2 linked regions of the Oryctolagus cuniculus genome follow. The protein of the gene in region 2 binds, or shares a complex with, the protein of the main gene of each other region. Links are inferred from orthologs where the notes say so. Each region holds a gene or a part of one and is shown on either strand. Other genes may lie near its edges.

What was found.
Region 1: the proteins of STX17 (region 2) and VAMP8 are in contact, whole or in part, in a crystal structure (PDB 7BV6), measured with the Homo sapiens proteins. The link is inferred for Oryctolagus cuniculus from reciprocal best matches to the Homo sapiens genes STX17 and VAMP8. Residues at the interface, in NP_060389.2 of Homo sapiens: Ser171, Trp172, Thr174, Leu175, Asp178, Leu179, Glu181, Leu182, Leu185, Val186, Phe189, Leu192, Val193, Gln196, Glu198, Lys199, Ile200, Ser202, Ile203, His206, Val207, Ser209, Ala210, Asn213, Val214, Glu216, Gly217, Thr218, Asn220, Leu221; in NP_003752.2 of Homo sapiens: Gly9, Val13, Leu16, Gln17, Val20, Glu21, Val23, Lys24, Met27, Thr28, Asn30, Val31, Ile34, Leu35, Arg37, Gly38, Leu41, Glu42, Leu44, Arg45, Thr48, Glu49, Leu51, Glu52, Ser55, Glu56, Phe58, Lys59, Ser62, Gln63.

What each region holds. Positions count from the first base shown.
Region 1 is NC_091433.1:117,071,450-117,075,650, forward strand, and holds the start of VAMP8 (vesicle-associated membrane protein 8), read right to left. Parts: upstream 2,801-4,201; 5' UTR 2,366-2,800; coding exon 2,363-2,365; intron 1,050-2,362; coding exon 894-1,049; intron 1-893. UniProt on the Homo sapiens protein: SNAREs, soluble N-ethylmaleimide-sensitive factor-attachment protein receptors, are essential proteins for fusion of cellular membranes.
Region 2 is NC_091432.1:203,661,166-203,664,665, forward strand, and holds part of STX17 (syntaxin-17), read left to right. Parts: intron 1-1,808; exon of another isoform or gene 1,809-1,989; intron 1,990-2,648; coding exon 2,649-2,735; intron 2,736-3,465; coding exon 3,466-3,500. UniProt on the Homo sapiens protein: SNAREs, soluble N-ethylmaleimide-sensitive factor-attachment protein receptors, are essential proteins for fusion of cellular membranes.

The sequences.
Region 1 (4,201 bases), on a different chromosome or scaffold from region 2:
CTCTGTAAATCTTTTTGTTTGTTTGTTTTTAAGATTTATTTTATTATTTATTTGAAAGGCAGAGTTACAGAGAGGCAGAGAGAGAAGTCTTCCATCCATTGGTTCACTCCCCAAGTGGCCTCAATGGCCGGGGCTGGGCTGAAGCCAGGAGCTTCTTCTGGGTCTCCCACATGGGTGCAGGATTTGGGCCAGTCTTCTATGCTCTGCCACAGCAGAGAGCTGGATCAGAAGTGGAGCAGCCGGGACTCAAATCAGCGCCCATATGGGATGCCAGGACTACAGGTGGCAGCTTTACCGGCTATGCCACAGCGCCGGCCTCTGTAAATGTATTTTTTTAAAAGATTGATTGATTTATTTGAAAGGCAGAGTCACAGAGAAGCAGAGGTAGAGAGAGAGACAGAGACAGAGAGGTCTTCTATCCATTGGTTCATTTCCCAAATTGCTGCAACATCTGGAGTTGGGCTCATCAGAAGCCAAGAGCCTGGAGCTTCTTCTGGGTCTCCCAAGTGGGTGCAGGGACCCAAAGACTTGAGCCATCTTCTACTGCTTTCCCAGGCCATAGCAGAGAGCTAAGAGTAGACGGGACACAAACCAGTGCCCACATGGGATGCTGGCACTGTAGGCAGCAGCTTTTACCACTACACAGTAAAATGAGCGGGCTGACTGAGCCACCTGTGTGCCTCAGAAAATGTCTCTGTGGGTCACCCCACCCCAACCCCAGTCATCAGACTCATTCCTTGGTCCCATACCAATCAATGGAGCAGAGCAGAATAGGAAATGGGGACCCAGCTCATGCCAATTCCTGAAATAGATGCAAAGGCAACAGAAACAGCAGAGCCTCGCCCCTCCCGTTCACCATGCCCTCCCTTGGTCCCAGGGTCTTCCCGTCTCACAGTGGCTTCCAGGTCCTCTGTCTTGTTGCGCAGCTGGTCCAGGTTTTCTCCTCGTGCCAGGATCCGCTCCACATTCTGGGTCATTATATTCTTGACTCCCTCCACCTCACTCTGCAGGTTCCGCACTCGGTCATCTCCGCCTCCGCTGGCCGCCTCCTGCGCACAGCACAGGGGCTAATTAGGCCAAGTGACAGAGGACCAGAGGGAGACCCAGCCACAGAGGCCAGGGCAGTGGAAGGCCTCAGGTGGACGTCAGCCTTTACAATGCTTGCATTGTTTACAAACTATCTTTTCCTGCTTTAATGCATCTGTAAGCCCCAGCAGGTGAGATCTGATGCTGGACACCATCACTCAAACTTTCGGGTTCCCAGGGCTCCTGGCAAGGAAGAAAGCAGCATGGCTAACTCCCTCTCGGCTGCTTCCTCCTCCTCATGGGGTCGCAGGCACTGCAGAGCTGGCATCTCACAATGTCCCCCTCCAGCGCAGACCCCCCGCGATTTACCAAGTCCTAGAGCCCTCCCTTGCTTCCTGGACCCCCCTGAGTCTTCATTAAACCTGTCAGTGCCAGCCAGCAGGACGCCCCACCTGGCCCAAGCCTGCTCCGGCTCCCGGACAGCTGCTGGAGGATTGCTTCGGCTCCGGGGCTTCCTGGACAGCCTGACCCTAGTTCCATGGCTATGACCCAGAGCCAACAAGTCCCTCACACGGCGCCATGATCCGCTGAGCACACACTTCTGCTTTCCCCACCTCTCAGCAGAGCCTGTGCAGATACTAAGTGAAAACAGGCACCTGGGCGCTGGGGGAAATGGAGGACAAGTGCTGCCCGCCTGCTGCCTGCCTCATCCTGCAGGGTTCATGATAAGGTTTTTGATCAAGGAGGGAAAACAGGCCTCCCAGCCTGGCCCTCGGGGGGGGGGGGGGGCAGAACCTTGCCAAGGGTGTGGGGCGAAGCTGGATTATCGCAGAGAACCAACTTATGGGTCTTTTACAGGCCCCCGGCTGCTTCCTTAGACGCGGTACAGAGGGATCCTTTGGGTTTCTGCATAGGGAGAAAGCGGGAGGCCCGGTGGGAGAACTCCCGCCGCCGCTGGCCTGGAATCTGAGCCGGGAACAGCAGAGGCGCTTGCTGTCCAGCGGTGTCACAACACCCAGTTTGTCCCTGCCAGGGGAGGCGGGGGCGGGGGGCGGCAGAAAGTGGCAGCAACTCTTTGCCTGGAATTCGGACGCCCCCCCAACCCCCACCGCGGCCCTGCTCGGGGCCAGCACGGAGGCCAGGGGAGGGAGGTAGTGGGGCAGGGACAGGAACACCGCCCAGGCGGCTCAGAAGTATTTGCGGCCAAGTTGTCAGAGAGGCCACAGACAGCGCCGGCCCCAGCCCTCTGACTTCACCACGCACCCTCCCCTCTCGGCAAGGCCAAGCCCCAGTCCCCAGCCCCCTTTAGAAAGCAGCCCCCGTCCGGATCGCTCACCATGTCTGCGAGTCGCTGGGGCCCGTCAGCGGCGGAGCTCACCCAGGCTGCTTCCTCCCGGGCAGCCCTCGCTCCACTTCCTGCTTGCTCCAACTTTCAGCCCGCCCCTGCCCACCTCCATCCCTGCGCTCGCGCCACACCTAACGCAGGTTTCCTCAGGTAGGCGGGCTCCCGCCCCCGCCCTCCCAGTCTCCACCCAACCAGGGCTTAAACTTAAAGCCACAAGGCTCCCCGGGAGGGCACCGAAGGTCTTGCCACTTGCCAGAAACGACAAAGCAAAGATCAAGCAACCTTCCTAGGTTTCCTGAGGCGGGACAGACTCCTTTTTATGTCTGGGATGTCTTAAGCACCCTGCGGGCCGAGATCACGTGAAAACAGGTGCAGAGGTGACAAGATCTTGCCGAAGCCCTTGTACTTAGGACTGCAAACACTGGGAAAAGTCTGGAATGCTGTCACCCCAGGCTCGGGTGTCAGAAAGCTCAGGGTTACCGGCTGCATGCTGCCTAGTGAACTTCCTCACCTCTTTCTGTATTGCAGGTGCAAAGGAGTAAAAGACAGCTCACACAATGTGCCTGACAGTGCCTTGAACAAAATAAGTAATCAGGAAATGATGGCCCACCAGCCCTTCCCCTTCCCTTCCCAATTGCCTTGCATGTGCCTTGGGAGGACAGTGTGTGTGTGTTTTGGGGGAGGTTGCTGACCCTATCAGTGGTCAGAGGACAGCCCAATGAACCAGACAGGGACGACCCAGGGCAAAGGATTTTTCCACCAACCTGGCCCTGGGCCAGAGAAAGGCCAGAAAAAAAATCCTCTCTTCCTGGATGGTGTTTATCAAGACACAAGAACAGTAACAGGGACCTGCAGAAGGGAACAAACATTCTTGCCTCTTCCCAGAAGAAATGGCAGTTCCAAAGAGGAAATATCAACTTCACCAACACATACTTTTAAAAAGAGAGAGAGATTTATCTGAAAGGCAGAACACCAAGAGAGGACAAGAAACAGAATAAGAGTGATCTTCCATCTGCAGGATCATTCTCCAAATAGCTGCAACAGCCAGGTCTGGGCCAGGCTGAAGCCAGGAGCCAGGCACTCCATCCAGGTCTCCCATGTGGCTGGCAGGGGCCCTGGTACTTGGGCCTTCCTCTGCTGCCTACCCGAACACGTTAACAGGAAGCTGGATATAAAGTGGAGCAGTCGGGACTCAAACCAGTGCTTTTAAAAAGTCTTTAATACATTTTGTCTTGAGACATCTTTTTTCTAACTTAAATACAATTTTGTCCCCAATTAGGTTGTAAGTTTATTAGATTATACAGACATGAATTTTAGTGGCCAGGACAAATAGCCTGGGAAACAAAGTGTGTACCAGCCTGCTTTGGCAAAGAAACATGGCTGCCTCACCCTTCTCAGGTTGCCACAAGGCCAGGTGGAGGAGGAGTGGAATTCTTAGTCTCTACTTGTGTCATCCAGACCAGTTGCCATTAACCACTTGGGCTGTTGAGTACTTGAAATGTGGCCAGTCTGAACTGAGATGTGTTGTAAATGTAAAATACACACCAGAGTTCAAAGACGTAGTATGAAAAGAAGAATGGAAATATCGCATTCATAATTTCATATGTTGATGGCATGTTAGAATAATGTCTCGGGGGGTGAGTATTATGGCGCAGTTTTTAAACCACAGCTCAGGACACCTGCATCCCATATCGGAGTGCCAGTTTGAGTCCCGGCTACTCCACTTCCCATCCAACTTCCAGCTACTGCCTGGGAGGCAGCACATGAAGGCCCAAGTGCTTGAGTCCCTGCCACCCACATGGGAGATCCAGATGGAGCTCCGGGCTTCTG
Region 2 (3,500 bases):
CATCAGTGATCCCAGAATTATTTTTCTTGTAGTCTCTCCTCCAATTATTCCAAATAATTTTTGCAAAAAAATTAAAATTAAATGATCTTGAAATTTCACTTTAAAAGAAAAGTTTTACATATTGCATTGTTCAACCTTTCTTTAGGAAGGAACATTAAAAACATTTCCCTGAGACCTTGCGATCATGCTTAGGGAATGGGAATGGCAATAATCCTGGAAGTTTCCTCCCTCTTGCTGGAATTATTTTTGGCTGAGGGGAGGGAGACACATTGAATATTCTTCCTCTCCCCATCAACTCATCAAGATCTGAAGGTTGATTGTAGAGTTTTACCCCTGTGATTTATCTGCTAGCACAGACTGTTACAGGCAAAAGTGTGAAGTGCCGAGGGTGTCTCAAATGGAAACCTAAAAGAGTGTCAGAAGTCCAGGCAAGTTGGATATAATTAGTGCTGGCACTTTTGCTTCTCTAGACAAGAAAAAGAAAGATGACTTAAAGTTTTACTGTGAGAAAAAATGAGAATTGGATGAATGAATGTTAGGAGAGATCTCATGTTTTACTGCCCTAGAATTTTCAAGCATCATAGGAAAAAGCTTATTATATTTTTTGATGGAAAGATGAGAGTTAACACTTTCTTGGGAAGATCAGGATGATTTTTTTTCTATTTTCTCCTCTTACTTGGCAGACATCTCATTTTATTCTTTCTTTGGCCCTATGAGCTGTAAGTATCATTATCCTCATTTGATAGCTGAAGAGTGCCTGAGTAATTTTGTCCTGGGGCAGATAGTGGCAGTGCTGGGATTTGAATATAGAATATCTGACCAAAGGCTGTGCCCTTAATCTTACCATATATAATGATTTTTAAAGGGTGAGAAATGGAAGCATCAGCACCACCTGTGAACTTCTCAGAACTCAGGAACTCTGACAGTGGGAACCAGCAATCTTTGTTTTAAGAAGCCCTCAGGCTTCTCTGCTGCATGCTCAGGTTGTACTTGTCTCTGACAGAGATGTTCAAAGGAGAACGGATGAAGGACTTTTTAAAGGATTGTGTTACAGATGCTAAGACAGTGGTAGAGAAGGGCTGACGGCATAGTGCCCAAGTTGCCATGTGGGACTCCTTACAACCCATATAAGAGTGCCAGGCTCTGCTTCCGATTGCAGCTTTTTGTTAATGTGCACCCTGGGAGGCAGCAGGCAACAGAGCAAGTACTTGGAACCCTCCCCCCATGTAGAGTACCTGGACTGAGCTTGGTTCCCTTTCTCCACCTGGCCAAGCCCTGGTTGTTGCAGGTGTTTTGGGGAGTGAACCAGTGGATGGGAGAGTTCTCTCTCTGCCTTTCAAGTAGAAATAAATTTTAAAAAACATAGTAGTGGAGAATATTAGAATGAAAGAATACCACAGAAGTCCCAATATATGTGAAAAGGCACATATTGAATGGAGAGAAAGGAAGGAATGTTAATAATGCTAATGGGAAACAGCTGTCAGAAAAAATGGCTGTGTTGTGTGGGCTTCATGTCCTCAAATGAAATGATGATTGGAATCAGAATAGTGTTATTTATGTCTACCTCAGTATAAATGAATAGGTCAAGGGCAAATACTTCTCTAAGTTTATTTCTCACTCATTGTAGAAAGTGACATTTATTTGGGATCAGAGACAGATTCTTCTCTTTTGTTCTGCAAATTAAAAAAAATAGTCTCTCTACTAATTGTGGTGGTGGTTACATCAGTTTATACATTTCTCAAAACTCATACTGTACCATTAAAATGGGTGCATATTGTCTTAAAATTCTATCTAAAAATTTTTTTTAGACATTTAAAAAGTGGATTGTGTTTCTGTGGCAACTTCCTGTCACTGGAGGTGATGAACAGAGGACTGGTAACAACCTGTCAGAAGGGGGGGGGGGGGCACACTGGAGAGTTGCACTTGGTGACCCAGCATTTCTTCTACCCAGAAATCATGTGAACCACAGTCACTGTTCTGTCAGCACAGGTGTGGTGATTTTATGTCGAATGCTCTATTAATATGTTTTATCTGAGACATTTTAACTTGTCATGAATTTAAAATATATTAAAGTATTCAGGCGTAAAACATAGGATGGTAAATTCATTCAGTGCTCCCTACTGCTTATCACAAGTAGAAAGATTTCACGGTAAATCATATTGTAGTCTTATCCCTAAAACACAGCAGTTTGTATTTAATGGATCAAAGGCACTTTAACTCCTAAGGTAAATTTGCCTGCTTTAAACAGAATCTTCAAAAAAGATAAGTTAGAGAGGTTTTTTTTGGTCTGATTTTTTTTTTTCCTTCAAGCCCAACCTGACATGAAAATGCTTATTTGGATTTTTTTCCTCTGGAAAGTTGATGCATTTGGAGAATAGTATGTTTATATGTTTGAATGTATTTCAGTGTGAGGTGCTTTTTGCTGGAAAGGTGCCACCCTTTTATTACCAAATAATTAAGTCTCCCTCTTTTTTTCACGAAAGTGAATTTGTACCTTTGACATGGTTTATCAGATGCTATTAATGAACCATTATTAAGACTGCAAGGCTGCAGTACCCGGGGCCCTGATTACAGGAATTAAAATAGTGTGTGTTGGCTTCCTGCTGATCCCCAGCAGGCATGCTCACTCATAATTCCTTTGCATCTAGTCTCAGCAGGAGAAGATTGACAGCATTGCAGACCATGTCAACAGTGCTGCTGTGAATGTTGAAGAGGGAACCAAAAACTTGGGGAAGGTAAGATTCTGCTCCTGCTGACAAATCAATGGTACTCTGGCTCCCAGGAATCTCTAGTATTAACCCGATTGATCTGCTCTCTTCAATGTTGAGAGAACCAGCAATTAAGGAAATAAGGAAGAAATGACACATAGGTGGTGCCAGAAATCAATGGTTGTAATATTCTACTCTAAGATTCATTCTATCAGGAGAGGAATTTTTTCCAGGAGAGAATTAACTGTACCCTACTGTTAGCTATTTGGTGTTTCAAGGGAATATGCACAGAGGTCCAGGGAGAGGAGGGTTGCAAGAATCCAGTCAGGGCTAGACTATAAGGACATAATAGCATATGTGGAGTAGGATCCTGTTTTCCATAGGATGTTGTTTTTAACCCCAGATACATAACATGGAATAATCTCTGTGCAACATAAAAGCTTGAAGCAAGGGTGGGAATCTGTGACTGCCGAAACTGTTTAAATAAACCATGGATTGATTGTTTTACAAGTAAAATCAATTTGTTAGCTGTCCACTCTTTATAGCTCATTCTTCCAACTTCTGATCATTGGAACAATTGTAGTACCTGTGGAATATTTTCTTTCCTCTGCCCCCACAAGCCCCACAAATATAATCTCTAAGTTTAATTATGTACTAGGAGTTAAATAGGCATTGCAAGGAGTAATGAGAGGAAAATGCACATCACCACAGGCAGATATTCTCAACTCAATTTCTAAATTGAATTTTTTTTTTACAGGCTGCAAAATACAAGCTGGCAGCTCTGCCTGTGGC